Linked DNA regions of Drosophila melanogaster. The protein of the gene in region 2 interacts with the protein of the main gene of each other region in a pairwise test. Each region holds a gene or a part of one and is shown on either strand. Other genes may lie near its edges.

Evidence for each region. Proteins that work in one complex are often made in the same cells at the same time.
Region 1: the proteins of Abcd3 (region 2) and Ssk interact in a two-hybrid assay, tested with the Drosophila melanogaster proteins (one large-scale study listed by BioGRID).

Annotation. Positions count from the first base shown.
Region 1 is NT_037436.4:20,185,177-20,192,052, reverse strand, and holds Ssk (snakeskin), read right to left. Parts: upstream 3,532-6,876; 5' UTR 3,342-3,531; coding exon 3,291-3,341; intron 3,062-3,290; coding exon 2,865-3,061; intron 2,734-2,864; coding exon 2,493-2,733; 3' UTR 2,274-2,492; downstream 1-2,273. UniProt on the Drosophila melanogaster protein: Required for assembly of smooth septate junctions (sSJs), together with mesh and Tsp2A. May be important for barrier function of the midgut epithelium.
Region 2 is NC_004354.4:19,747,395-19,755,586, reverse strand, and holds the start of Abcd3 (ATP binding cassette subfamily D member 3), read right to left. Parts: upstream 4,818-8,192; 5' UTR 4,450-4,817; exon of another isoform or gene 4,240-4,449; 5' UTR 4,154-4,239; coding exon 4,041-4,153; intron 717-4,040; exon of another isoform or gene 284-716; coding exon of another isoform or gene 243-283; intron 1-242. Other genes in the region: Alr (augmenter of liver regeneration), read right to left, coding at 5,736-5,898, 5,958-6,199, 6,279-6,674; parvin, read right to left, coding at 7,717-8,192.

The DNA of each region.
Region 1 (6,876 bases), on a different chromosome or scaffold from region 2:
AACAACAACAACAACAACAACAACAATAATAGCAGTATAGTGTCCAATAACAATAGCAAGAATAATACGTTGCCAATTAACGTGGCCCAGAAAACCAAACAACACTTTGAGGCGGAAAAGAGGATCCAGAGTATATCAATGGGCGCCACCACATTGCCGGGCTACGAAAATGTGCCCAAAATGGAGCGATCCAATAGCTTCTTACGCACCAAGCTGAATAAACTGATTAACCACCTGACGGGCAGCAAGGAGAATCTGTCGAGGACCGACAGCGATGGGGACTCCAGCCGCACACCGTACATATTCACCCGAAGTCGTTCGATGATCCAGATGAGACGACCGAATCGCCGCAGTTTCATCGAGCCCCAGCTGGAGCAACTGAGCGAGGAGACGGAGAAATCGGGGGATCTCACCTCACCGACATCGCCGCGGAAGACATCGGTGGCCGATCTGCAGGCCAGTTCGCCGGTGCTCCTGCGAAGGAGTGAGCTCAGCTCATCGGTGAGGACTCCAAAACGTCGACAATCCGCACAGCCCTTCACGTCGACTCCTTTGGAGGAGGTGCAGTCGCCGGCCCAACGGAAGGGCTCACTGATGTCGCTCAATCAAACGGAACCCGCCAATCCCCAGCTTAATTTCCAAAAGAGACGATCCAACACGCTGATTGCCTCCTTCAAGAGCACCTTCAGTGGATTCACTGGCAGTGGGAGCGGAGCCGAGAAAAAGGAGAAGATGAATCCCAAATGGAGTGCCTCGTTGCAATCCCTGCAGGCTATCGATAATATGGTTAGCTACGCCAACATGTCCTTCATCGACTACGACAAGTTCAATGGCTACGAGAAGCAACTGGAGCGCCAGCAATCGCTGATGAGTCTGGCGGAACAGCCGGTGACCATCGCCACCCAGCTGCCGCTGCCGCCTTCGGCGCTGGCCCACTCGCATTCGCCCTCTCCGCTGGGCGACAACTCGCGCACCTCCGTCCACCTTGGCTCATCTATGGATGAGTCGGTCAGGACGGTGGTGATGCGCCGCAGGAGGAGCAAGACCTCGTTGGAGGGCAGAAGCAAGACCTCGCTGGAGGGTAGGAGCAGCATGGCCAGCCTGAACAGTGCCTTCAATTTGGACACCGCCTACGAGCACAATCTGGACCGCGTACATAATGTCTATCGAGAGAGCTTGGACTCGCGAACCCTGGATCTGCTGAATCAGCGCACGCGGAACTCCTTCATCCATGATCAGGCGGTGCTCTTCGATGCCCTCAATCTGGAGGACGGCTCGGTGGACCTGCGGTGCCTCTTCCGTATGACGGGCGTTTGGAGGAGCAGAAGCATGCGGCAGCAGCAGCAGCAGCGGGAACGGGATGCAGTGGACGGGCGGGGGAAGCCAGGAAAACAGGTGAGTTGAGCTCAGCTCTTGTTAATTTATACGCAAGATTTGATCTTATTGAAAGATTTTAAAAAAGATGATCATATTCAAATATTATAAGTTCTTCAGTTGCAAAGTTAAGGGTGACTAACCTTTTTTTTTTATTTATTTATACACCATATGCATTTACGTAATGTGTGTAGTTTTGACTGTACCGTTTAATCTTTGACTCATTGCCATAAAGACTTCTGCGTATAGCTGACCGATAAATATAGGGCTTTATTCCGATTTATCAATGCTTCGTTGAACGCTTTCGATTTGCACCGGAAGTTGCAGTTTCATGGTTCCAGAGGAGGTTCGTCTTGAAGCGTCATCGATTTGGTTGAACAACTCATGAACTCTGTTCTCAGCAAAGAAATGAGTGATATATACCAAATTCTGCGAATCGTCTGACATTTTTCCTGTGTGCATCAGTTCCTAAACAATTAGTTTAGTTTTCCATCAAGTTCTTTAAAAGAATATTAGGTTCTTGGAGAGCAATAGGTTCTCTAGTACTAGTACTAAAAACAAATGAAATATCTCACCAATTACAATATATCAGTATCAGATCGCTTGGAATATGAAATTTCGATTGGGTGTTAGTTTAAAGTCGAAAAGTTTAGTCAACAAATCTAAGTTGTCGTTTTTTGACAAAAATTAGCAAAATGCTTACGTATGATGTATGATATATATAAATAATCTTTCATTAATTGCAATGATATCAGAAAAAAAGAAACTGAGCAACACGATCAATGGGTTCTGATGGTAATTAGTTGATTTAGGTTACAATTGATACTTACTAGTAAGTGGCATTCCATTGCATCCCCTTAATTAGTTCCCAAATGCACAAAAACTTTTATCCGTGGCGTGGTCTTAACTATTTGTATTTGCCAATTTAAGGATGTTAAACGTGAATGAAAATTGTAAACAGTTAGTGTATAGTACAGCGACAATTGACCCTTACGAACGTATAGTTGATAATTGATTGCGGATAATAACTAATTTGCACTTAAATCGATCTATGTATAAAGACAAATGTGGATGGTGTTTATTCGGCGGCTGCGATTGGTATCCCCACTATTCAGTTTCTACTGCGTGTAGTCGGTGTCGCCCTTCGAATAGTGTATGCAAGCCAACACGGTGTCCAGCAGGTACAGTGCGCCCTCGATAACGCACAGCGAGCCCATGGCAATGCCCACTTGACGCTCCGAGTTCACATACAGGAATCCCTCGTCGGACATGTAACCCTTCCAGTAGTGGAGTGCCACTCCGCCCACGGCGATCCACATGATGCAGCCAACCACGTTCATGATGGTGTCGCACAGCTCTCTGAAAAACGGAAAGCCATTGAAAACAAACAGTTGTGAGTTGAGAGTGTGGAATTAAGGGCGGAAAATACAAGAAAAGGAATAAGATGCGGGTCAAAGTTCAGCTATAATCAATATCGGCATTCAACATACCCCTTATGTTTGGTTGTGCCGAAGGCAAAGGCAATGGTGTGGCATCCAGTGTAAATCAAGAATCCAACCATGACGCCTGAGGCTACGATTTCCGCATCGGCGCTCTTCTCCTCGTTTAAGTTCCACGTGCCGCCGATGCCCAGGAATTCGCCACCATCGCCCCAACGGTACAAGAAGATGATCACCAGATTGATGATCTGCGAAAAAGGAGCGCACAGGAGAGCAATTAAATGAGGTCACAATTGGGAATGGGAATGAATGAATCACTTCTTGGCCACGCCTCGCCTTGCCGTACAACTCGGCGTATGAGTAACATTGCTAATACGCCAGGACTGATAAAACGCGCGCTTATCTATCAGCCGAGTTATTGCGACCACAAACAGGCTATTGCTCAATAGGAAGGGACCAAAGAAGCCCAAAACTTACCAGCTTCAGGGCCTTGATGAAAATAGAGCCTACAGTCTCCACGGACACCATTTCGCACTAGATATGCTGATTGCTCTTATCGCTGAGCTGGAATTTGGGCAAATGCTTTAGTTCACAGAGGGGTTTCTCCCAGTCAAGGGGCACTCACAATCTTTTCTGTAATTTTCACGCGGAAACTACAGCGAAATGATTCGTTTTCGTATCGTTGTCGTTCGTCGACTAAACTGAAAAATATCACTGAAAGGCAACCAACCAACCTGTCGCGCCCAGTTCGTCGTGTCGCCAAGAATTTGTAGCTTTTGCAATCAGAGCATACACGGTCAGCGATAAGATAAGATAGGGCTCACGATAACAGGTGCCGTTCGAAATGGGTTACTAATTCGTTGACGGTTCAACATGTTCAGGCTCCGAAGCCCAATGAAACCCAGATGCGCATGCGCCAGCCCCACCCGCGTATCTTATCAAAACGGCCTTATCGCAGCTCTGTCGCCTTACATCGCGATATATCAGGTGCTCCGATTTGCCGCTTTCCACAGCATTGTTACACATTATTCATGGCGGCCACAAAGCCACAAAACGGGGAAACATACCCGCGGCTCTGAGAGACCGGAAACAATTATTCTTGCGTCATCGATGTATTTCTGAAATACTTTCGTGGTGACCCATTCCCATTCCCACTGATAAAGCTCCCGGTGGTGCATCCCTCGAACAGATTAAAAATTCACTGACCTTGTCACGATTCCGATGATCGATAGCCCAGTGGATTCCAGCTACTGATTAAAAAGTCTCAGACACACAAAAAGTCACTGGAACCTAATCTGCATTTCAATTATCACAACCCTAGCACAATAATCGTGGCTGTAGGTGGCCCATGTTCGAGATTTCGAATCAATTGGAAGAGCACAATGCAAAATGATAGGAGCAATTGGGGAGCAAAAAAGCAACTTGCGGTTGATGTGGGGTTCCTCGATTTACATATTGCCTATTTATCACAGTAAAATGGTGTATAAAAATACAACTCTTGGATGAATGGTGCGTTTTAAGAACACTGTGTAACATGAAAAGCAAACAATTTTCAGGTCACGAAGAAAAGAAAGAACTTAGTTAGAAATAGTTACAGTCCCTTGTTTCTAAATTCAATGTTTAAAAACTAATTGAAAATGGATGCATATGGTTTTTGGACAAATGAATAATTGCATAAGTTTGGAGGGCGTGGGAAATTAACTATACTGCACATTTGGCACCTCGTGCCCTGTGTTTTGTATTTAAGGCCGACATTAAAATGTGCTTGTATAAATCATAAGTTCAGAACATGGAACAAACATGAGATCACACCTCATCAAGGGTTTTTTTTATGACCCGCATTGAGTAGCAAGTATACACACTGATATTCATGAGTACTATATATAAACAAGTATTATTTACGCTGTGCCGAGGGTATTATTGGATTTCATTTCAGAAAATTTAATTTTAGCATACAACTAACTTTCCAACCTAAGCTTTTCAAAATAAATATGTTGTTTTAGCGGAAATTGTCTCTTTTGTATACAAGTTTTTAAAATGTGATTAAACGTGCTTGAATGCCTTAAGAATAGTATTTGCTTAGGGAAAACAAGTAATTGAATAAGATTTATTTAATTAAAGGTAATAAAATTAAATTTGAGCAAGGTACATGGATACTGATTTATTTACATAGATCTGCTTTCCATTTTAAATGCAAGTTGTCTGATGCCTGGATAAGCAAAGGAATATCTTCCCAAATCAAGGCCAAAGGTTGTCGAGTTCTTTGTTTTCGTTCCCCCATTGCGAATGCCGCTCAGCACCGCGGATTCTTCCCCACTTCTCAAATCCCCATGTGGAGTCCCAGAAAGCAAGCGACGTTAAATTTGGAATTTGTCTCCTCTGCATTTGGTTTGTTGCGATGAATCATCAAGCATTCAGAGAGGTGGGGAAAAATCGGCGTCAGAACAACAAAAACCGGCATGCAACTTACACCAACACAAGTGCAGTTCTCGTGTGGTGGCCTCTCTTAATTAAGTAAGAAGAGAATAAAGAGCGAATCGCCTCGTAGCTATCAGCTTTCGTGTGCCTTCAAGCGTCACGATATTAAAGTGATTGAGATGTATTCAATGGATAGCACACATAAATAAACGATGTATGTATGCTTCAGTACTTGTAGAGCGAACCGAAACGAAATCAATATGTATAGATTGGACATATATATTATATATATAATTATAATATATATATATAATTCGCATTTCGGCTGTGAAAAAGTCGACTGGTCAGAACTTAAACTTAAGCGCACTTGCAGCATGGTTCTGTAGCAGCCAGACTCCTACAGCGACGCTTTACAGGCATTACATTACAGCACTGTAAAGTCTATGTCAAGCGAGAATATTCCTCAGATACAGATACAGAGACAGCAGTAAGTAACTTATGACCACTTGCACACCTTTTGGGGAAACTTACCTGCCTTACTTGGACTGGCGTCAATGAGGTGTGACGGCGATTTGGTAATGAGATTTCAGTTCAATCTTAGTGGGCGTATTTAAATTAATTCGCTAGACAGTCGAAAAGTGAGTCAGAGAATTACGAAGAGCACTGCTTTGGAGAGCTTTCGGTTTTGTTTTGATTATCAGTTTGATTCGATTTCGCCGGTTGCGTTGTTGCTATTTATGAATGAAAGTTGCGTTTGTTTACTTTTGCGCACAAAGCTCGAGAAAGAGAGAGAGAGGTAAAAGTGAGAGTAAGAGAGATTTATATCAAAATTTAAAAGTTTTCGCCACTCTAAATATTGCGGTAAACTTATATTGTACATATGCTTCAGAGCTGAAAACTTTAAGCGATTTATGAGTTATTTAGCACTTGACTTTCAATTAATCTAAACGTTCTGCGTTGAACAAACATCCTTTTCAACCCCTAAATATTTGCAAATTGAAGAAAATGTATTTGACCGGCGTTTTATGACATTTGCCAAACGCTTGTATTCATATTCATAGAATACTAAACGCACCAACTCACAGACGAGGCAAAAATATTAACTTGGCAGTGTTTATAAAAAGTGCAATATAACCTATGAACTTGCAGTAAATGTAGTTTTCTTTTCAAGTTAATTAAAATATCTGGTGTTTGCACTGATTTGCGAACTCTATTAGTTGTAATTTGATCTGTAACTTTCCAGTACCGTGCAAATTATATGTAATATTAAAGGATATTTACAAAATTAGATTTTTCAAAATCCGATTTCCTTTGATTTTCTATTTGTATGCTATTTGAAGTTTCCAGCTCTACTTTTCGAAACACCACTGTGGCAATACAGTCATAGACCTTTTTGTGGGCCTAGGCATATGACAGGGCCGCCTTGTTTAACCAGGCCGAACCAGGACTGCCGAAGTGCAGCTTCGTGTCGTTATCCTTATCAGGCGAGTGCTGTGCCAGTGGTTCTCCGCTGCTTTCGGGGTCCTTTAAACGAGCTGATGGCTGTGTCGTCGCCTCAGTTCGTCGGCAGCCGTCCCACAGTGCGGATGACCCAAAATCGGACCGCGGAGCGCCGACCTTTGACACCAGCTTTTGCTTTTGCTCG
Region 2 (8,192 bases):
ATATATGTAGAAACTTTTCCAAACAAGATGCCATGGAATCGATCAATAAATCAGTTGGCTAACTTTTTAAGTCCACCATTTAACGTGCGTAATTCACAAAATGTTTCGACTAATTAGCCGATCGATAAGTTTTATCAATTAAAACGATTATAATTTCCAAAAAAAAAAAAAAACATAAAATATTTATTTTAGATTGCATGGAAATTCGGCTAAATAGTTTAACTATCTCAAACATTACTCACAAGCTATGGGCTTTCGTTATCACTTTTGCTTGAGCGTACATTAAAAAAAAAGCACATTTCCCCAAATTTGCTACATGAAATGCTTCCGAGATAATTTGTTTGAATTCTTTTCAGCTGCTAATCGTTGTGGGATCAAGGTCCGGATGAAAACCGGTGCCCAGAGCTGACCAGCTCAACACAAGCCACTGGGCCATTGGCTAACCGGCATTGGATCGCCAATCGGATCGGATCGGATCGGATCGGATCGTATCGTATCGAATCGGATGGAGTCCAAAATCGCCACCTGCCCAGGGTTCGAAGTCTATGGGATAATGTGGGTGATGAGATGTGAGGTGCTGGTGTTGCTGGTGCTGGTGCTGGTGCTGGTGCTGGTGCTACTGGTATGTTAGGCCAAACAAAGTACAAAGCTCGCGCCTTGGTTATCTGCAGGCTGGAAAAAGCGACGAGTCGTGATGACTTGGTTATTTCTTAAATATCGCTGCGCAGATCACTGAATTATTCATAGCGCTCTTGTATTTATTTCTATATATATATATATATATATATATATATATGTTTCCATCTATCTATCTTTCAATCCGTCTGTGTGTCTGGCTGTCTCTCGTGTGGTTTTCCTTTTTTGATTCGTAGTATATTAAACTTGTTTTCACCGCCTAGACGTGGAACATGTGTTTGGGTCCATAGGTCAACACCGGTGGCTCCCATTGCCATACCCATACCCATTCCCATTCCCATTCCCATTCCGAAATCGCCTGCCCCTGCGATTCATCCAAAGCTCTCTTTCGCTAATCGCCGGCGATCGCCTAATGGGGGGCACATTGAACCCGGGCGCGAGAAGATCGGTTGGCGTCTGACTCAGATAGAGACATTGCCGCGGATTGCAATCAAAGTTCAGTGGTTCTTGTGCCGCATAGCAGCCGCTATCGAGCTAGTTTGTCTGATAAACGCTGGCCAAAATCAGATAGCTCGACACAGCTCGGGCATACTCATCACCTGTTGCCTTGGCTGTTACCTGTAGACCTCAAGACCCGTAGTCAGTCTGCCGGCACTCACACGCTCACTCCACTCCGCTTGCGATGTCTCAGAAGTGAGAGCGAGTGAGCAAGTGAGCGAGCGAGTAAGTGAGTGAGTGAGTGAGTGAGTAAGTGAGTGAGCGGTAGGCAGGCAGGCAGACAGACAGACATACAGGCCTTGGCAACGTGGCATCCGCAACAGGTGCAAATGTCAGAGCTCGGCTGCGAATCTGCATTGAAATTACGATCTCATTTCACGCACCGTCCGAGTAAAGGCGAGAATTATACAAATTACACGATAAATGGCTGCCTTGCGGGGCAATCCGATTATCGAGGGCCAAGCGTTTCCCGGGCACAAGGTCTCTCCATCCATCCGACTCTTCCACTTCCCCATCCGAAAGTCTGGAGCGCGCACAGCCACACAAGCTATTGCGCAACAGCCGGCGGGACGGGCCGGGCGATACAGAATGTGTCTACCTGCGAAAAACAGAGCAAGTTGTACACAAATTAACACCTATACCCCATTACCCATTACCCATCTCGAAGGCAAAGAGCTGGGAATGGGAACGGGAATGCGAATGGAAATGGAAATGGAAAAATGAAACCAGAAGCCACTGGTCCTCTGCGCTTCTCTCCATCCAATGTTGTGGATGGCACGACGCAAGTCATTAAAAGGCACGGCTGTAATGTTTATGCTTTATACCCGGGTGTCATCATGTCATCCATGGAATGGGTGTGTGTGTGTGTGGGTATGGGTACGGACTTGGGTCCGGGTAAGGGGTACAATCGAGTGTTGTTGCAACACCAAAAGCAAACTGCCCACCGGTGGTTGCGTGTTCGATTGCAAGGCAGGCTGCTGGATGTCAAGTCAAAGTGTTTGGACCTTTGGACTAATGAGCTTGGGTGTGTTGTCCAATTGTCCAAACCCTTGATAGATTGCAAAGACATTATTGGCGGTGCTACGAGCTAGCATAACCGTACCATATCAGTTAACAATTCTAGGGCCTGTCCTTGATATGAGGCTATAAAAAAAACACCGATAAAAAAGCGCCTTGAAAGTTGTGCAAGAGGCGTTGCTACTCGGAAACTCGTTGACACATTCGAAAAGTCCCTTTTAAACTTTCAACGTTCTTAATCATTCAGCGATTAGCTCTTGGACTTGAAAGTGAATCATAGAATGAATGAAATTAAATGAAATTATATGAAATGAACCACAAAATTCAACCACTGATTCATATGAAAGCATAATCGAAGTGGAGCTCCACTTGCGAAGCCCATTTGGTTGGTTGGACTGTGGAGTGTCCAGTCACTGCATCCATTGAACCGACTGCACCATCCACTGTGCAAAATTCGAACAATGGAATGGTGCATAAATTTAGCGGCCATCCACAAGTGGCGGCTACCTCGCTCGCAAAAGTTGCATAAAAAAGTAAACAGCGCATTAAAATGCTCGATTTCGATCGCCTGCCAAAGTGCAGTGCACTTCAGAGAAGTTGCTGAAAGTGATGGCCACCGGTTGGGTATCCAACATCGGAGTGCTCGGCATACTCCGAGTACTCGGAGTAATGTTAGCAATTAACGAGTGGCACATGCAGCCACGGCAGATCCCCCACAATCCCATGCGGATGGCTGGCTGGCTGGCTGGCTGGCAATGCAATCACCCACCCACTCCACTTGTCCGCCGCAATCTGTCTAATTAATTGGCTCTGTCATGCAAATAGTCGATTGCGCCCGCTTTACCCGTTCAGTTTATTCAATAAGATGAAATCGACTGATAGCGGTCAATTGCGCGCCGAACCCCGCACACATCGAATATGACCAAATATTGAGCGCGTTAACAACAGCATAATCGGCACGAGTGGCGATAGTGGAATGGGGCATATAGATGAAGTGCTGTAGACTGGCGCGTTGCCGATTAGATTAGCGGCAAAGACCAAGTCCATTCAAACACCGAAACGTGGCCCTTAACCGGGGAATCAAGTCCGCATCGCAGGTGCTCGATGGGGAAATCCTTGAAGCGATACCGCAATGAAGCAGGCCGCCAAGAAGTGGCTATTCGGGTCATAATAGTCGAGGGCGCCGAGAAGGCTTTCCTAATCGAGTTTGCTGTTTGGCCGGAAATGTAGTGCCTATCTGAGTCTACCTTCTGCTAAGTACGCGGAATTCCTCCATTCCTCCCAGACAATATATACATTCAGACCTATCCTAGATATCAGTATATCTACATAATAGGGATAGACTGCAAACAGATCCAGCTACTTTGGTTCACATCTACTTAAATGAATCGATGATCTGTTGACTTTTTTTTTGTATTGGGACTGCACTTAAAAATATCTTTTTGAGAATCTTCAAAACGTAAGCTGGTGGTCGCCAAACTTATTATAAGATTATGGCAATGGGTAACACAATTGAAAAGAACAGTATTTGGAGCTGCAAACGAACTGTCCGGCCCACTGTGCGCGGCTGCTGGACGAATCAATTGAAACCGGACTACAATGAGGGGGAAGTGCATACAGTGTGGCAGAAACGGCCATCGGAAAACCAGTTTTTGCAGTCCGCCAGATGACCCACAATAGTGGCATCGCATCGTATGTCCCGCAAACAAATCTGTTTGTACATAAATACACAGCGATCCAAAACTCAAGTCAATATCACGGACACATCGATGGCCAAGACCGAGACCTTGTGCAATAAGATGTTCGTAGAATATTGCATATTGCACAGGCAACATAAATAACATGGTTGAGCCACAATTATCCGTAATTAAGATCAAGGGGGGGCTTACCGCTTCTTGTTGGACATCTTTCCGTAGGCAATTATCCAGAGGGCCGCCGTCATGCCCGCCACGCCGACGATGGCGCTCTGGTTGTTGGCCAATTTGCTTAGAGCCGGGGCCATTCTGCTATTGCGATGTGGCTACGGATCTCGTTTGGCTTCAAATTGGGCACCTTGTGAATTTTACAATTCGCAATTTCGCGTTCGCACTTCAGTGTTCGATTAACCGCACGTGGGGGGAGGGGGTTTGCACAAGGAAAAAATTAAAAAAAAAAAATTATAATAAATAGTAAGTATGAAAGGGGAACAGACACTATTGTTTATTGCACGGATTTCAATATTTTAATCGGCTGTTTGATGACGACACAACACACAGACATGCACACACACACAGATGGTGGATAGCAGGATGTAAACACCTGGTTGTCGAACAGCCCTGTCTTAGCTTCGTCCTCTCTCGCTCGCACCCTCTCTCTCTTTCAGGGCAACTGCTTCTTCTTCTTCCTGTACTACAACTGGTGGTGGTGATGGTGCTGCTGCTTCTTCCTCCGCTGCTAGTGGCGCTCCTTTTCTGGCCAAAGGGGGTGGGCAAAGTGATTGTCACACACGGCGGGCGCTTTTATTTATTCAATTTGAGCCAGGCGCATTTCTTTGTTTGGTAATTACACTCTACTCAGCTCGACCAAATCGAGAAATCTGACGAAGTGATACGTGCGACGCGCAAAAGCCAGCAGGCAACTAACTGTAGTGCGATGTGCGCTAGTGTTGGCTACCACGACAATGTGCGGGCAGCGGCGCTGCGGGGGCAGCTATTTCGCCGCCAAATCTGGCTATTTCTGAACGAAGAGCTATCGAACAAGTTATCACCGATAATTATGAATCGAAAATATCGTTCATCTAAATTTGAGGTATTAAATATTTTAAATTAGCCAAATTTAAATTTCCCCGCTTAAACTACCTAAACTATTGCTGAGCAATCATGTTATATAAGTAAATCATATAATGGCTTACTCTTACGAAAATTCCACTAATTTTTATATCTCTTATGTTAAGCATATTAAAATGTTAAATGAATAAAATGTTAATGTTTCGTTGATTGCAAAAAAAAATTAAGTTAAATATTAAAAAATATAACCAGAGCAGACAAATTTTAAGACCTTTAGTCCTTTAGGTATTATAGAAAGGAAATCTAAAAACTATATAAGTATCAGCCAAATCCCCTAATTTCGAACCAACTAAGCATTGTATTCCAACTCCGCTTTAGATCTTTCCACTCCCATCTTATCGAAGTGGAAAGCATTTGCCTTCCCCATTCTAATCTAATAAACGCCAGTCGGCAGATTAGAGATTGCGATATCTGCAGGGCCAGTGAGAAGGCATAATACGGGTCCTCAACATAATGTGTATATTCTAATGGAGTTCATAGCCAGCAAATCATTTAACAATGGACCTTCGATGTGTCGCTCTATTACAACATAACTCAATTTAATGTCACGCTGACGCAGGTTCCGACTGGTGGGCATGGCCTCTGGCCAGAAACAGGGCACAGTTTCGGGTTGGCGGCGGTACACCGCCGAGCAGGAGTCCCGTGTTCCGTGGTTGTAGTTGTGGGCCAGCCGAGCAAAATGTGGGACAAAGTCTGGTCAACATGGCAACCTGCAACGGGCGGGAGACGGGGCTTCTCGGCGCTGGTTAGCTGCGGCGCCTAGTCGCAGGAGCCGTCTAGCCAGCCGTCGCGCCACCTCTCGTTCACCTTGGTGCAATCGAAGAGCGGTTTGCCCAGTTTGTCGTTCACTCGGTTGTGGAACTTGCACAGCCACAGTGCTAGCTCCTTTTGGGAGTTCACATTGATGGGGTTGACGTCCAGGCTGCAACAGAGGTCCAGCTAAAGTGTCAGCGTTTTCAAATGGATTGAAGATGCACTTACTCGGTGCGAAAGTCCTTGGCGCAAAACTCGCAGGGGTAAAGGCGCGACAGAACCTCAAAAAAGGTCTTCATGTCGCGCTTCTCGGTGTCCGTGGGGTTGTCCGAGTAAAAGGCGGCCATGGTGTGGAGCAGTCCCCAGGTGGAAATTCCCAGCCTCACCTTGTCCAGCGGGCAGTCGTCGCGGGGCAGCGGATCTTCGGCGGCGTTGACGGTCAGCTTTTCGGCGGCGGCCATGTGCTTCACCTGGAGGAGTATGAAAGTGGGAGATTCTTGTGTTATCGTCCTGCTTGCGAAGGCGAAGTGGCCAACGCGATCACGTCACCTTGGCGCTCTGCACGTTGGAGATGAGGCGTTGCTGCTTGGACCACGACTTGAAATCGTTGCAGGTGCGGCAGTTCGAGTCCTGTTTGCCGGCGCCGCTGGCACCGGCCTTGCGGTTCGCTGCGAATGGGGACTCGTGGTGCTCCTTATCCATCTCGGGATTCGCCTCGGCAGACATGATGAAGTCCGGGTCACGGATCAGGCGGAGAACGGTGCGCTGCAGACGGCGAATTACCAGGCGAGTTGCTTCCCGGCTGAGTTCGATGTGCGTGGGGCTGATGTAGTCGTAGCCGTAGTTGTGGGACTGGCGGCGCAGCAGAAGCGTTGGTGTGGTGGGTAGTTCTAGAATCTTGAAACTTCGCTCGGCTATTGTGAAAATCATAAAAAGCATGCGCATGGTTGCCACCTTGTTTCGAAACGAAACACATAACATTAGGACATATCTGGCTAAGCGGCTTAGTTAAGCGGCTGCAATCAACGCAAGTTACTAAATACTGGCTTTTAGATTCATGGCCAACATCTGGCCAAGGACCAAAATCCGGTCAGCAAAGTAACATTTTCAAATTATACCGGCCAGCAATCGAAAATCGATGCGAAATCGTTCCCGAACGGGAAGCGATCTGGCAGCCTGCTCGCAGCTGTGATCGATACCAGACCGTTGCGAGTTGCGCGCGCAACCGCGACAATTCAAATAGCACAGCGTTCAGAAAATTACTAAGGTTTGTTTCTCAATCAATTCGAGACGCTCGAAAGAACTTACATGTGAATAGGATGGAAGCTGGCGTTTGTGAGTGCTGCAGCCCCAGATAAATTTTGCGCCTTGGAACTGTTTAAAATAGAATAACACATATGCTATTGGCAATATTTATTGATTTTTCTGATCCAAATTTTTAACGTACACAATAAAATTTTTTTTTAAGACTTTTCCGTAAACTTCTACATTTACAGCGTTAAAATCTGATCTGTGACATAATTTGCAAAAGCTCTGTGTGATCTAAAGGCACAATCTCGGTTATTGTGTTCAAATAATGTATTAATACAATAAATTCACTTAGTAACAACTACAACGTCTGGCACGTGAGTAAGACAAGTTAACAACTGGCCGCCGGATTTTGGGTTTGGGTTAGCTCTGCTCTGCTCTGCTCCTTCCTGTTCCGAGCAATCTGAATCTGGAGCAGATCGCAGTGGTTAGACGTACGACACATAAATATATATATATATATATAAACATTCCTTGGGCTGATTATACGCGACGCAGCATTTAGTTGTGGTTTTGAGAGTTAGGATCAGTAAGCTTTAACCGCTGCATCGCCTACAATCAGTTTCGAGAACGCACATAAATTAGGCGTGTAAACACTATCAAAAAGTTAATATAAAATGTAAAATTGGCGCCGCTTGTTGCTCCTGCAACCCGCTGGCTCGTTCCATCCGGGTTTCACTCAGGCGAAGTCCCTGAACATGGTGAACAGGCTGTATAGGACGCGCAGGGTGGACTTGAGGTCCATGTTCACGATGTCCTCCGGCCGCGCCTTTGGTTTGGGCAGGCCCACGTCCTGCATCAGGTCGAAGGCGAAGGCCACGTTGCTGACCATCTGATCCACGTCCTGCGGCGTCAAATGGAACTCGTGCAGCGGCACAAAGAATCCACCGAGCAGGCCCATCAGCAGGCACAGGTATACGCCGTCGCGAAAGTCCGTGTTCAGATCGCTGATCTCAAAGTTCAGCTTGGCCAGGTGCTTGTTCACGAACGTGATCAAGGACTTCTTCACCACGGCCAGCTTGTCCGGCGCACAGTCGATCAGCGTGTCGAAGGCGTCCTTTTCGCAGCGCATGCCCAGGTCGTCGTACTCGGACGTTATCTGCTCCTGGAACTTCTGCGCGTTCAGCACGCCCGCATTCTTCTCCGCAATCACGA